Linked DNA regions of Caenorhabditis elegans. The protein of the gene in region 1 interacts with the protein of each later gene in a pairwise test. Each region holds a gene or a part of one and is shown on either strand. Other genes may lie near its edges.

Region 1 (7,337 bases):
ATCGAGCACGAGAAGGGCGTACTTGTATTACAATTGCTCATCGGTTGTCTTCAATTCAAAATTCTGACGTTATTGTATATATTGAAAATGGACGGGTGCAAGAAGCTGGAAATCATAAGCAACTGATGAGCAAGAAGGGAAAATACTATGAGCTGATTCAGAAGCAAGACTTGGGAATATAAAAGTCTAGTTTAAAAATAAGTCGTTTTTTTCTTTTAACAGATATGACAACTTAGATTTTATTACAACTTGCTCATTGAAGAAATAATAAAATGATTTACATATTTTTGTAACTTAACACCGAAAGAAGCAATCAGCATCAAAGATAAAATCACTCAACACAAAATTCTGTGACCTGTACTGCGACTGATCTTTATTTTTAGCGAGAGCGATGCACCCTCACAACTAGATCACTGATTCGGTGGAATTCCCAATCAACAGAGAGCAAGGTGCCAAACCGTTGTTCTTTCTTGTCTTGTAAATCAATATTAAAACACTATTTTCGCAGTTTTTGCGACTTTCAATGTTGACATTTGCACAATGGCAGAGAAAAGATGTAGTAAATGTAGTTGGCGTAGTCCGACTGTACTTGAAGAAAAAAAGCACTTGTTGATACACAAGGGAAAATCATAATCTTTGCGCGAACACTTTCGGAAGAAAAATTTCAGGGTGGTCTGGTTAAACTTGATCGTTTGGAACGGCATTTTGACGACAAAATACAAGCAAAATGATTAGAAAAATGAACGGTTAATCCCTCTTTAATTTAAAAAAAAATGCATAGGACTGAAATAAAAAATTAAATTTTGGTCGTTAATTTCTAGAATGAGATTATATGGTATTAAAAAGCTATGAAAAGCTAGTGAAAAGCTGAGAAGAATTGTATGGTTTTAATACAATTAGAAACCGCGAGCTTGCGCAAAACTGTGAAATGTTGCAAAATATTACAAACCAATTTTTTAAAATACCCGCTGAAAATAAAAATTCTACAAATTCTTAAAGTTGAAAATCACAGAACAATTAAATACCTAAAGAAAAATAGTGAAATATTTCTCCAATATTTTTATTTAGAAAGAATATGCATTTTGTTCTACTTTTTACAATTAAAAAAAAACAAATGCTTCGCTATTATTTGGAGTTAAAATGATATCAACTTTCATGGCCACAGAAAGAACTTCATACTTTTGAGAAATGAATAGAGTCCGCAATTTCCAACACTACACCTTCTGTATACAATAGTCTTAAAACTCTGAACCTACATTACTGGGAGCTGTTTTGAAACTGTGAAAAAACAACGACTCTTAGGTTTTCCGAAAGCCGACATATTCCGCAACTTGTCACCAATTATCACTTCCATAGAGATGACAATTGGTCTAAGATTCGAAACTAGTCTACCTCATTGCCCTTGTCTCTTGTCTGTTAGCCGAATCTTCCATACTCCGATTAGTTTGCGCACAAACCACACCTCACTGCGTCTCCACGTGAACTCGGTACTTCCTCGTGGCGAACAATCCTACAGTAAGCCGCAGAGAAACATGGCCATGCCGTGTGCTCATTTCACAAGTAAAATTTTGGTACATATGCTCAGCACCTTTTTGGCAAATAAACGTCTTGTGCGACTCCTCCCACTACGAATCCTCTACCATCAGAGTGGTACTTAAGGAACGGGTGCCAAATGAGAAAGTACCATTGTTTCGAATCACACAACATTTCTTTTTTCGTTTTCTTTAGTTTAGACCCCATTTTATTTGAAACCTTCTTGTTACTGATTCATGCTTGAATTATATATATTATTACGATTTAGTACTGCATCTTATTAGTAATTCAATTCCAATATTGTTTGTTTTGCTTACTGAACGTTTGAGCACACGGCATAATTTGGCACAGAACCTTAAAATCTTTTATTTAATCTATGTAGATACCCACTTTTTTGCTCATTTTTCCAATCGCTCAATTTTTCATCATCAAACTTCTTTTTCAGAATTTCGATGTACGAATAATTAAACATGGCCCCTAAAGACGACCCCGATAATCGAGGTTTCGACGATCAGCGTCGACCCTCACAGAGGAGTACGGTAAGTCTCATCAAGCCAGCTGATCTTAAAACATATCATTACACTTGTTCCAGGTGCTAGCGATACCAGCACTGGCTGTAAACGACCCAAAGTCTGATCCAAAAATTGCGAGCGACCTACCCGCAAATTACGTAGACGATGATGATGACGCCCCAAAGATGTATACCCCTTCGCTTTTGGAAAAAATATTGAACTACGCGTTGTGTAGAGGTGATATTGCTAATCAACAACTTGAAGCTCAACCAGTGTCTATTCCTGGATTGGTAAGTTGAACTTATTTTTGATATTTGCGTGCCATGCTCTATTACCTAAATTCTTGCAATATTTGTACAAGTATCAAAAAGAAACATTCTCCCCCCGTTTGCCACAAGTGCGCGAAACACAAATACTACTAGGGCACAGTAGTTTTGTGCTTCTTGGTTTGTTTAAGAAAAGGGAGCACAAATAGGTGAGCGCCGTTTGAACACATCATTGAGATCAATGTAGTTTTAGGAATTAAAACATCAAACTTGTTTATTTGCAGTTCCGATATGGAAAGAAGTTTGATTACCTACTCCTGTTCATTGGAACCATTTGTGCAATTATCTCCGGAGTTTCACAACCTATATTGGCTCTTGTCAGTGGTCGCGTCACTAATGCCCTTCTTGTCTATCCACCAACAAGTAAACAATTCCGGAACAAAGCTAACGAAAACGTCTACATCTTCCTTGGAATTGGTATTTTCATCTCGATCACTAACTTCATTCAGTACATGTGCTTCCAACATTGCTGCACAAGAGTGATGGCTCAGATGAGACATCGATTTGTGTACTCTGTACTTAGACAAAATGCAGGATGGTTTGATAAGAACCATTCTGGAACAATCACGACCAAATTGAACGAGTAAGTTGCTTATACTCATAATTGGGCAAGACTAACTTCTCTCAATTTTCAGCAGTATGGAAAGAATTCGTGAAGGTATCGGAGATAAGCTTGGAGTGCTCCTCAGAGGATTTGCTATGCTTATCGCTGCCATCGTCGTTGCTTACATCTACGAGTGGAGACTCGCTTCAATGATGCTTGGAGTTGCTCCAACTTGTTGTATTTGCATGTCACTTCTTGCCAGAGTAAGTTGTCAGAGAGAATTACGCAGTCGTTAACATAAAGTTTTCAGCAAATGACTTCAACTACAATCAAAGAACTTATTGGAGTTGGAAAAGCTGGTTCTATCGCTGAAGAGTCTCTGATGGGAGTAAGAACGGTGCAAGCTTTCAACGGACAAGAGGAAATGGTTGGAAGATACGAAGCTGAACTTGAGAAAGGAAGAAAATTCGCCGTGTGGAAGGGATTCTGGAGTGGATTCTTTGGAGGGCTCTTCTTCTTCTGGCTCTTCTCCTTCTTGGGTTGTGGTATGCTTTACGGAGCTTACCTTCTCAAAGTCGGAATCATCACAACACCTGGAGATGTATTCATTGTAGTCATGTCTATGCTTCTCGGTGCATATTTCCTTGGTCTCATCTCTCCACATATGATGGTGCTTCTAAACGCAAGAGTGTCTGCAGCTTCTATCTATCAAACTATTGATCGTGTTCCAAAGATTGATCCATACTCAAAGGCTGGAAAACGACTTCAAAACGTGGTAGGAAGAGTGAAATTCGAAAATGTTCACTTCCGTTACCCAAGTCGCAAAGACGCAAAGATTCTTAATGGCCTCAATTTAGTTGTTGAACCAGGAACGTCTGTTGCTTTGGTAGGACACTCCGGATGTGGTAAATCTACATCCGTTGGCCTTCTCACTCGTCTCTATGAGCCAGAAGCTGGAAATGTGACCATTGATGGAACTGATGTCCGAGAGCTGAATATTGAGTGGCTCAGAAATACAGTAGGAATAGTTCAACAAGAGCCAATTCTTTTCAACGACACTATTCACAACAATTTGTTGATTGGAAACCCTGGATCTACTCGTGAAACTATGATTGAAGTCTGCAAGATGGCTAATGCTCATGATTTCATTGAGAAAATGCCAAAGGGATACGACACCTTAATTGGAGACGGTGGTGTTCAACTATCAGGAGGACAAAAGCAACGTGTTGCTATTGCTAGAACTCTTATTCGTGATCCAAAGGTCTTACTTCTCGATGAAGCCACATCTGCTCTCGATGCTCAGAGTGAAAGTATTGTACAATCAGCTTTGAATAACGCATCGAAAGGTAGAACAACCATCATGATTGCTCACAGACTATCAACAATTCGTGAAGCTGATAAGATTGTCTTCTTCGAAAAAGGTGTTATTGTTGAAGCTGGAAATCATGAAGAACTTGTGCGCCTCGGAGGAAGATACTTTGATTTAGTGAAGGCCCAACAATTCAAGGCTGATCCAGAAGCTACTGAAGAGTTTGAAGAGGAAGAAATTGATTTAGAGTAAGTTGATTCTAACAAAACTTGCAATTTGCCTATTAATAAATTTCAGTGACACTAGTAGGAGTTCACGCCGTTCTTCGATGACAAGTGCACGATCTGGCTCAGAAGCATTCAGAAGAGGAAACTCTCTCAATGACTCTTTCTCGGGATCAAAAAGATCTGCCCAAGCAGATGCTGAAAATAGCGCGTTTGCCGCTAACGAAGCTGCTATCATGGCTGAAGATGGACAGATCACAGCCGGATATCTGGACATTTTCAAGAACGCAAAAGGAAACTATTTATACATGTTCCTTGGAACTGTTTTTGCTCTAATCAGAGGTCTTGAATTGCCTGCTTTAGCACTGATTTTCGGATGGGTTTTCGAAGGTTTCACATTTGTACCTTATGGAGGAAGAATGATGCACAGAATGGCTATGGCTGTTATTGCATTTGCTTCCGTCGGTGTCGGAGTTTGGTTTTCTCAACTTGCTAGTGTAAGTTATTTCAAAAGAATATTATGCATCTCAAATTTTCAATACTTTTAGTCAGTCTTGTTTGCTGTTGTTTCGGAAAACTTATCAATGAGATTCCGCGTCCAATCATTCCGAAATCTTCTCTACCAAGATGCTTCATACTTCGATAATCCAGCTCATGCCCCAGGAAAGCTGATCACTCGGCTTGCATCTGACGCACCAAATATCAAAGCTGTCGTGGATGCTCGTATGCTTCAAGTCATTTATGCACTTGCTGCTATTATTGCAAACATTGCGATTGCGTTTATCTACTGCTGGCAAATAGGAATACTCGGAACATCTCTCATCCTCCTTCTTGCGTTTGTCATGATCGGGCTTGCTTACAAGATTTCTCTCATGAACGTCGAACAAATCCAAAATGATGATGCAGGAAGAATTGCGATTGAAATCATTGAAAATGTGAAAACTATTCAACTGCTCACAAGGTGTGAGCTTTTCTTTGATCACTACCAAACATCATCCAAGCAACAAAAGAGATCTGAACTGAAGAAGGGAATGATTGAAGCCATCAATTACAGTCTAACTCAATCTTTCATGTACTTCATGATGTGTTTTACATATGCTGTTGGTATCAGAATTATTTATCAAGGAGACAAATCTTCCGATGACACTTTCAAGGGAATCATTGCAATGATGTTGGGTGCCGTTGCAGTCATGAATTCGGCACAATACTTCCCAGAATTTGTAAAGGCTAAAACTGCAGCTGGAATGTTGTTCAACATTATCTACAGAAAACCTAGAACAGGAGACTTAATGGAAGGAGATCGCCCTGAAATTAGAGGAAACATTCTCTTTGAAAATGTCAAATTCTCGTATCCACAACGACCATTGCAACCAATTATGAAAGGACTTCAATGGACAGCACTTCGCGGACAAACTGTTGCTCTTGTCGGGCCATCCGGATCCGGTAAAAGTACGAACATTGGTATGCTCGAACGATTCTACGATGTTACTGGCGGAGCACTTCGAATTGATGGACAAGACATTCGAAAATTGTCACTGTTCCATCTCAGAACACAAATGGCGCTGGTCGGCCAAGAGCCTCGTCTTTTCGCAGGAACCATCCGCGAGAACGTGTGCCTTGGGTTGAAGGATGTGCCACTTGAAAAGATCAATCAAGCCTTAGAACTTGCCAATGCTAACAGATTCCTTGCCAACTTGCCAGCCGGAATTGACACAGATGTAGGAGAAAAAGGAGGACAATTGTCGGGAGGTCAGAAACAGAGAATTGCAATTGCCAGAGCTTTGGTCCGAGACCCCAAAATTCTGCTTCTGGATGAAGCCACGTCAGCTTTGGATTCGGAATCCGAAAGGGTATGTTGAAAATGAAACGCTATCTCTTAATAATTATGATCGTTTTCTTTCAGGCTGTACAAGAGGCATTAGATCGTGCCCGAGAAGGTCGTACGTGTATCACAATTGCCCATCGTTTGTCGTCCATTCAGAACTCTGACCTTATTGTGTACATCGATAAGGGCAAGGTGCAGGAAGCTGGCAACCACACGCAGTTGATGCATCAAAAGGGCAGATACTACAAGCTCATCAAGAAACAAGATCTTGCTGTTTAACTCTGCAAATTGCCTTTCAATTCCGAATTATCCTGTAAATTTTGATCACTTCCACACTCTTACCAGTAATTACTTGTTCCCTTTGAAACTGTTTTTATTGTGACTTTTCATTGCTTTGTTTTCACATTTCTCAAAAAATTTTTCCGTCATTTAGAAAACTGTTCCCACGTTGTTTTGAAGCAGTTTTTCTATTAACCGGGTCTGTTCACATTGCTACTTTTATTTTCAGTAGGTACTCATTAGCTAGTCGCTTTTTCAATTTTCGAATAAAAAAATGTAAGAATTGAAAGTGCACTGTGTTATTTACAACAGAAGAAAATTACAGTTGGCGCAATTAGCTCCCACACACACACACTTATGGGGTTGTTTATTACGGGACCATGAGATCATGAGAATGCCTACTTTTCATGGTCCCGTAATATGTGATGTTGAAATTTACAAAAATGTATTTTAATACATTTTCCCCTAGTCATGTCTGTAGAAAAATGTAAAAAATACATCGATTTTTCTATTTTTCTACATTTTTCGACACATTTTCTGTATTTTTCGACATCGGCTGCCAAGTTGGCAGTGTCAACCCACTTCTCATGCTGAAAGGCGCAAAGAGAAGTGTCCTCGCAGGGTGGTACAAAAAAGTCAACAAATGCGATCTAGAAAATTAGGCAAAATTCGAGATTTCAGCTAAAATCGGTATAATTTTTTCAAAATTTTGACCCGTCATGAAAAATTTTTGAGAAGCTTCATTACGAAAAAAAAAACGCTCATTTGAGCTCATTTTGGGTCTA
Region 2 (7,845 bases), on another chromosome or scaffold:
GTAAAGGGCTGTTCCCATAGATTGGAAGTCGTTCGGAAATTTGACGTTGTCTTTTGCTCACATTTAGCACTTGATCTTCGACTTTTGGATTGACTCTTCGAGCAAGCATTCTATATTCGAAATACTTCCATTGCTTTCACATTCCAAGAAGTTCAACGATCCAATGTCTTTAGATTTAATGCTAACAAAAAATAAAACGAATATTTAATAATCCATCAGGATACAATAGAAAACCTCGTAGACAACATAAACTGAGATACAATAATGAAAATCTGGGGATATGTGGTGAGAGCTCATCTAAATGTTCGATGCCCACGATCTCTTCCACTCTTTCCAGCATCACGTGCAGGCTCTGCTATTCTTGATGCCTTTGGAAGTTCTTCTTTTTTTTCTTTTCGATCATCTTTGCGATCTTTTCGAGAGGACGATGTTGATTTTGAAGGCTCCTCTAGATCAAACTCAATCGCTTTTCGAGAGCCTTTCTTGTCATCTTTCTTGGGAACTGGGTCGGGAAGCTGAAATAAATCACATTTTCGAAAGGAAAATTTTGAAAATAGCTTGAGAAAACGTTAATATCTTACCGCGGGTCCTGCCACTTCAAGCTTCTCATCGGACGGCTTGCTTTTTTGCTTCTGATCTTTGAGAATCTTTTGTTCTTTCTGGTTTTCTCCATTTTCTCGCTTCCTTTCCTTATCCTTTTCTCGTTCCTTATTATCCTTCTCCAACCGTTTCTCTTTTCCTGTTTCTTTGTCTTTCGATCGTTCTCTTCTTTTCTTACCTTCTCCTTTTTCAGATTCTGTGTCCTTCGGAGATTCTTTCTCATCTTTCTTTGAAGGTTCATCAGACCGTTTTAAGCGATCAACAATTCGAGTCTTCTTTGCAGGAGGGGGACTTGGAGTCTTCACTTCACCATCTTCAGTTGTTGGCTCTTTCTTTGATTCTTTTGATCCGTGGGATGATTTCTAAAATTATAATAGTTAGTTCAGTTCTGTGAATTTTAATAATTTATGTACTCACTCCAGGTCGCTTCTTTCTCTCTTTGTTATCTACTGTAGCTTTCTTCTCTGTTTCACTTCCATTCTGATGTACTTCATCATCTTTCACCACTTTCTCCGAACTCGTCGTCCCATTTTTCTTCGAATCTACTTTAATCTTCTTATCAACTGGTTCCCCATCAGCTTTATCTTTCTCATCTACCACTTTTTCTTTTTTCTTTGGTTTTTCAGCACCGACCGACACCTTCTTGTTGGGAACTGGGGCGTAATCCGAATTTTGAGCATAAATCTTCACAGTTCTCATCTTGAGCTTTCCAACATACGAGGCTGCTTTTAATGATAGATCGTCACGTTTTCCCTTCTCTCGATCCTTCAACTTGGTTACAGCTGTTTCCATTGTGGCGACTGCATGTGATATGACTGGAAATCCAGATGTCAACTTTGTCATCATAATCAATGAATTTCTGATAAGTACATAGTCAGCATCATCTTTTGTGAAGACTGTCTTAAACATGGCAGTAAATCGAATTTGCCATCTATAGCATAACTTTCGGAAAGTTTGATATTCAATTGCTTGTTTTGTGATCATTCCTGGAAATCCTGCACATTCCTTCTCGAAAACTTCTTTCTCCGAGTGCCATCTTTGAACAGTGCAGAGCAGAATTTCAAAGAAGCATGCCAGCGAGTTGGCTTCGTTCTCGGTGAGCCCCGCGATCAGAGGAATTATGTTCTCGAAGAGTCTGTCAATGATCAGAACCGATGGGAAGAATGGAGTCCGCATTTCGTGAAGCATCATGAAGAATTGACCACAGAACACTGCATCAAGTTCGGAGAATATGGCACGTGGCAGGAGGCATTGTTGAATGAGAGCTTCCAATACAGCTGGAAATATTGGAAAAGTATTAAAGCGGATTTCATGCATAAACTTACAATTATGGAATTGCTCATCAATCAACGAGTCTTTCTTGTTCAGAAGCCATACTTTACAACGTTCCACGTGCTCAATTTGCCTCTTCTGCTCTTCTCGAAGCTTACTCTCCAACTGTTTATCAGTTTTCTTAGCTTTTCCCTGAAATAAAAAATAGTAGATTATTTATAGATGAAAACTAACATGACTGTCTTCTCTTGACTGTTTCTTTAAAGCATCAAGTGTCCGTTCATATGCAGCTGTCGGAACTTCGATATCATACATTGTCAGCATCCAGAAAACAGCGAAGAATCTGAAAGAAAAATTTAGCAAACTGGGCGAAAATTTGATAAAAACTCACTTCACAGGTATATTCTCCTCCATGCCAGGTTCAGATGCTTTCAGCTCATCCATTAACATTTCCACTTGTGATTCCAACGCACTTGTAAACATTTCAGTCTTTTGCTGTGTATCCAAACGAGTCTTTTGTCCATCTTCAACAGCAGCTTTCGAGATTTTTTTAGCCGCATCATAGTGATCTGATATTCTTGAGAAGAAAATAGGTCTCGCCAGACACATTGTGGCTTCCATTCCAAGTGAATAATCAGATAACAATTCACGAACAGTTGGAACTCGTTTCGAAAAATCATCATTTTTCAGATAAACACTCAAAAATGAAACGAGTTGTTGAAATGTGTCACTACACTGATCAACCATTTTTCCAACAAGTTTCAATGGAAGAGTAGAGCTTTCATTGTAGACAATATGCTCTTTTTGTTGAGCAACTGAAATTGCCAATCCAACAGCCAAATCTCCTTTCAGAAGTGCATCACGTAGACGTTGAGCAGCTTTTCTATTCTTTGTTGCCGTTGAATATCCACCAGCTTCCTGTTTCAACAAGTCTCCACCTCCAAGTGCTTCAATTTGTTCTTTCGTTGCTCCACTGATACTCTCGATCCATGACATATTCTGGATAATTTCTCGAAGAAGAAGCATATCGTAACTTTTGCAAAGTTTCAATTGATTTAGCACATAGTCTAGCATTCCGTTCAGTTCGAGTGGATATCTTCGATAGAGAGATCCAACCAGTGTTCCAAGAGCTTGCAGCCAAGGAGAGATGGTAGCATCAGTGGATTTGAGAGCTTGTTTCGATGGATCAGCCAATTGGGAGATGATGCAATCTGGAATAAATGGAAAACCTTCAAATGAGAAATATTTAAAATAGATTTGAAAAAGTTTGACTTGTTTACAAGTGAATGAAAAAAACGAGAATTTTTTCACATAGCTAACTGAAAGACTCAAAAATTTAAAATGTATCAATTTTTCCATAAAATTTTTTTATGAATTTATATGTTAAAATCTTAAAATTTCTCAAAAAAAAACGTTCGAAATTTACAAAACCTTTCAGTTTTCGTGGTTTTAACAAAATAATTTTTTGGACGTTTTTTCTCGTTTTCTAAAAAAAATTGTTTTAAATTTTGTTTGAAAACTTACAAGTGAGAACATCAAATTCAAGACTTGTCAAATATCTCAAACTATCCACAACAGGTCCAATGAAATTATCAAAAGTTTGCACTTGACTGAGGAGATATGAGAGTACTGTAGATGGATGTATATGACACAATTTTCCCAATTGTCTGCCCATCATCTTTACAGTTTCCTTCGAAAGACGCTTCAGAACATATTTTGTTCGTCCATGAATTTTCCCCTTCATTATATGCATTTCTGGATGTCTTGAAGTTTCAAGATTCCATTTTGAATACATCCAATATCTCCAAGAATACGGGAAAAGCTCAAGGAGCTGCCAAATCTCTTCACTAAGTGCAACATTTGTTTCGGACAGTGTGAGAGATGGTAGAAGACATTCGGAGACGACTTCCACGAAATTTTGATTTACTGAAATAATGATATTTAATTTTGAAAATGGTTGTTTTTTTTTCTTCAAAAATACGGTGCTCGATCTCGAAGTGACAGATTTACATAAATTTTAAAAAAGTACAAAAGTACAAGGAGTTCTGTAGATACGAACTAATTTTTCCTAGTTTTTATCGTTTTTTCAAAATGTTTTGTTAACCTTAATATCGGGGCGAAAATCGCAAAATTTCACATTTGAAAAAAACCTACGTTTATCATCCTTCGGTAGCAGATCCTTGTCAACTTTTCGGTAGTAGGCAGTCAAAAGTCGAACAATTTTGATATTTGTTGAAGCACGAAAGGCTATTCTAGGTCCCAAATAGGCAAGTACACTTGACAATTTTCCAAGATCTTCCCAACTTTCGATTGGTCTTAATCCATTTCCCATATCATCTAACACTGGTTTCGTCGATTTTATCAAATCTCCAAACAAGTTCAGCGAACAATTTTTCTTGTAAAAATCGTTAATTGATTTCTCAATTATTTTGCAAAGAGCTCTACAGAGTCGTGGACTAGCTTGAACTGCATAGTATTCTGGGAGACGATCAATGAGCATTTGAGCTTGTTTCCAGTTTCCACTTTCTAATAATGCACACGTTAAACCAAGCTTCTGATTTGATGAGAGAACATATTCCTCATTAAACCCTTCAGATAATTTTATATCCTCGTCTTCTTGAAGTTGGATTACTGTAGTGAAGGAAATCGTTTGCGTTGTCTGAAATGTTTTTAAAAATTAGATAAATATTCAATTTTCCGACCTAACCGCATTTCCACCTATTCCATTTTCATCGAAACCTCTTGAATCCATAATTGGCATTGAAGCTGTAGAAATTGTTTCTGCTTTTGATGCTCTTTCTTGTGCATTCTGCATTCTTGAACGGTGCCCTTCTTTAATTGCTTCGGCTTTTGGAATCATCTATAAATATTAATTAATAATTTCGAATAATTTAAAACGGGACTCCTCACATATCCTAAAATCTTCATCATATCGATCATTTCATGTTGAATGAGCGAAGCTGTCAGAACGTACAACGAATATGGCGTTTTCTTCTTTTTATCCGATTGATAGAATGTGAATTTGAAGCCCAGAAGTGCACACAGATAGTCACGGACCACGTCAATTTCTTTGAGAAGTGCAATGAAAAGGAGCTGAAATTAAAAATAAATATTTTTAAAATACAAATGAGCTGGATTCGTTTCAAGATTTCTTAATCTCATCATTTGAATTTCCAATTGTTTTATTTGTAAAGGATAAACGGAAAAGTTATAAATTCCAATTTTTCTCTATTGTTGAACTTTCAAATAAGCTCCGCCCACATCATGGTTGACCACCAAAACATCATGAATTTATGCAGATTCTTTATTTTACCTTCTGCCTCGGGAAATTCTCGAAAACTTCCAATATAACGTCAGTGACACGATTTGGATCCAAATTGAACTGTCCAATTAATGAAAGTACTCGATGCTTCAGAATCTTCGCATGTTCATTCTCATTCGCTGAGCTCTCGGCTGCTTCCATAAGCTCTGTGACAAGTTTTGAGTAACCTTCAGACTCTTCTCGAAATAAGTTGAATTTGGCCTGTTTGAAACTGAAGAAAAATGAGTTTTTGCAGAAATTGAATGAATTTAACTTACTAGACTTTTGTTTTCAACCTAATTAGTGCCTTGCTGTGATCATCTTTTTTGAAACAATCCAGCTCGAGGCGGAGGATTTCTTCGGGGATTATCTGAAAAAAATTTGGTATTTTTACAGGAAATTTCCAGTTAAAATCTCATTTCTTTGTTAAACAATTTTGGATTAAGTTAGAATATTAGTTTTTTTCAATCCTGAAACTACAGGTTAATTTTATTTTCCGCCAATAATACTATCTTCCATATAAATAAGCCTTTTTTGAACCTTGAGCTTTAAAAGTTGAAAGTTTTATTACCGTGTTAGTGAGTAGATTCACAAAGGATTCAAAATTCTCTTTGGAAGTGCTCGCGTTGTCAGCGAACTCGCTCTCCGGCTCGGTGAGCACTAACACGTCGATCAGCTCCGAACTGATGGCATCTCGATCTTTCTGAAATTAATGATTTCTAATTTGTTCAAGATTTTAAATGAACGAAACCTTCTCTGTGAGTATCCTTTCATAAGCCTTCATCGGTGTGATTTTCATGTGAACAATATCGAGACATAACTGGGTTAATGTTTCGAAATCGTTCATTTCTCTGTAATTATAATAATTCAATCAGAAACTAAAAAAAGAACATTAAAAGGAAATATGAGATTTCAAAAATTAAACTTTTTAAAGCGAGTTGGCACTTTGCCAGCCGAGGCAAACAAGAGTGAGAACGCGTGGACGGGAAATCTAGAGTTGAGATTTCTAGGCCATCGAGTGTGATGAGGGCATCTGAGCTCAGAAACATAACCAATTATCGGGTATTAGGATGCCGGACTTATTTTTTGTTACGCTTTATGATAGGCAGGATCTTTTGAAGGAGAGTATGACATTTTTGAATTCGGTGAGTTGTATTCTAGAGTGGTTTTCTAAATGTATTTTTTCTTTGGTAAAATAAATAGCTATATTCATAATTTTGAACTTTTCTAATTCCAGGAATGGCCCAGAAGCGATGGATCTCGTGAGCATTCACAGAAAAAATCATGCCGTCAGTCCCCTCCAATGTCGTTTTTGTTGCTCAATAAGGAGAATGACGAGATACTAGGCCACTCAAGAATCACACATCTTCCAAATCGGTGAGTAATTGGAATAAAACAATAAAAATTTGAAACTTTCGGATTATATTTCAACAATTAGAAAATTTGATAACTCACTAAAATTTCAGGAAAAAATATTTAAAAAGTTAAAAAATTTTAGCCTGAAAATAAAGGAAGCTATCATAATTCTCAAACCATTCTCCCAAAATTTGTTAATTTTCAGTGACCATGCCTTATGGATTGAGTCAGTGATGATCAAGAAGGATCAACGTGGCCTTGGACTCGGGAAATTCTTAATGAAATCCACAGAAAAATGGATGACGGAAAAAGGTTTCAATGAAGCATATCTCTCAACTGATGATCAATGTCGATTTTATGAATCTCTTGGTTATGAGAAATGCGATCCGATTGTACACTCGACAACAGCCACTTGCATCTTTCCAGCCATGAATCATTTTCAGGTAAATAGGCTTTTGAAGTTTTCAGAAATACTAAAAAATCATGTTTCTTGAAAATTCACAAAACTATACTCAGATCAATCTGATTTAGTTCGGAAATTTTGGAGATCCATCTTCAGATTCAGTCTAGAAAAATTGAATTCCTTAGTAGAAAATGCACAATTATTCAGATTTTTCTATAATTTATATCATGTTAATTTCAGAACGCGGCCGCATCCAACCCGTCCTTCCTATCAAAGATCGCACAGCCTTCAGCCTCGTCAACAGTCTCAGCTTCTGCTCCACCACCACCACCACCGCCTCCGATGGCTCCAAAAATGGTCACCAGATCCACGTCCCCGATTGTGGACGTCAACACGATTGATCACCAGTACATGAGAAAATGGTTAAAACCAACTGAATAATATATTGAGAAAAGAATACGCAAATATGAAATAAGAATTTCTACTTTTTATTGATTTTCCGCATAATGTAAAGTAATTTTAAGAATTACAAGAATAAAATAATTGAATGAGAGGGCGTGGGTGTGTTTTCTTAAAAACAACAACGAGTGAAGGGGGAATTACAGAAAAAAAGAAATAAAAAATGGGATAGAGATGGGGGTGATAGGTGGAGATGAGGGGATATGAAAGGTAGAAGAACCTGGTAAAATGGTCTGACGGGGCTCAAAGGGAAATGGGGCTCAAAACCAAAAAAGAATAAAAAGAAATTACCTAAATGAGAGAAGAAAGGCTACTAGACGATCTGTGTTTGTTGTGGGGAGAGGAGGCATGGGAGATAGTGGATAAAAACGATGATGAAGCTAACAAAAATAAAAACGAGTTGATAGAAAAAATAATGGGTCGCCTATTGCGAAAACGGTTCAGATTGGGAAAA

What was found. The genes of interacting proteins can lie anywhere in the genome.
Region 2: the proteins of pgp-14 (region 1) and thoc-2 interact in a two-hybrid assay, tested with the Caenorhabditis elegans proteins (one large-scale study listed by BioGRID).

Annotation. Positions count from the first base shown.
Region 1 is NC_003284.9:12,744,222-12,751,558, reverse strand, and holds pgp-14 (P-glycoprotein 14), read left to right. Parts: upstream 1-1,978; 5' UTR 1,979-2,003; coding exon 2,004-2,072; intron 2,073-2,125; coding exon 2,126-2,335; intron 2,336-2,595; coding exon 2,596-2,954; intron 2,955-3,006; coding exon 3,007-3,178; intron 3,179-3,225; coding exon 3,226-4,472; intron 4,473-4,521; coding exon 4,522-4,945; intron 4,946-4,996; coding exon 4,997-6,298; intron 6,299-6,351; coding exon 6,352-6,552; 3' UTR 6,553-6,836; downstream 6,837-7,337. UniProt on the Caenorhabditis elegans protein: Contributes to the establishment of a polar lipid barrier to block small molecule passage into the pharyngeal cuticle. Probably exports polar lipids into the developing pharyngeal cuticle to protect against xenobiotic insult.
Region 2 is NC_003281.10:6,366,221-6,374,065, reverse strand, and holds thoc-2 (THO complex subunit 2), read right to left. Parts: upstream 6,025-7,845; 5' UTR 6,021-6,024; coding exon 5,925-6,020; intron 5,877-5,924; coding exon 5,745-5,876; intron 5,544-5,744; coding exon 5,452-5,543; intron 5,406-5,451; coding exon 5,186-5,405; intron 4,966-5,185; coding exon 4,783-4,965; intron 4,733-4,782; coding exon 4,580-4,732; intron 4,532-4,579; coding exon 4,027-4,531; intron 3,799-4,026; coding exon 3,397-3,798; intron 3,084-3,396; coding exon 2,264-3,083; intron 2,216-2,263; coding exon 2,107-2,215; intron 2,065-2,106; coding exon 1,926-2,064; intron 1,878-1,925; coding exon 1,018-1,877; intron 963-1,017; coding exon 582-962; intron 516-581; coding exon 294-515; 3' UTR 162-293; downstream 1-161. Other genes in the region: C56G2.15 (N-acetyltransferase domain-containing protein), read left to right, coding at 6,244-6,318, 6,411-6,550, 6,735-6,972, 7,173-7,373.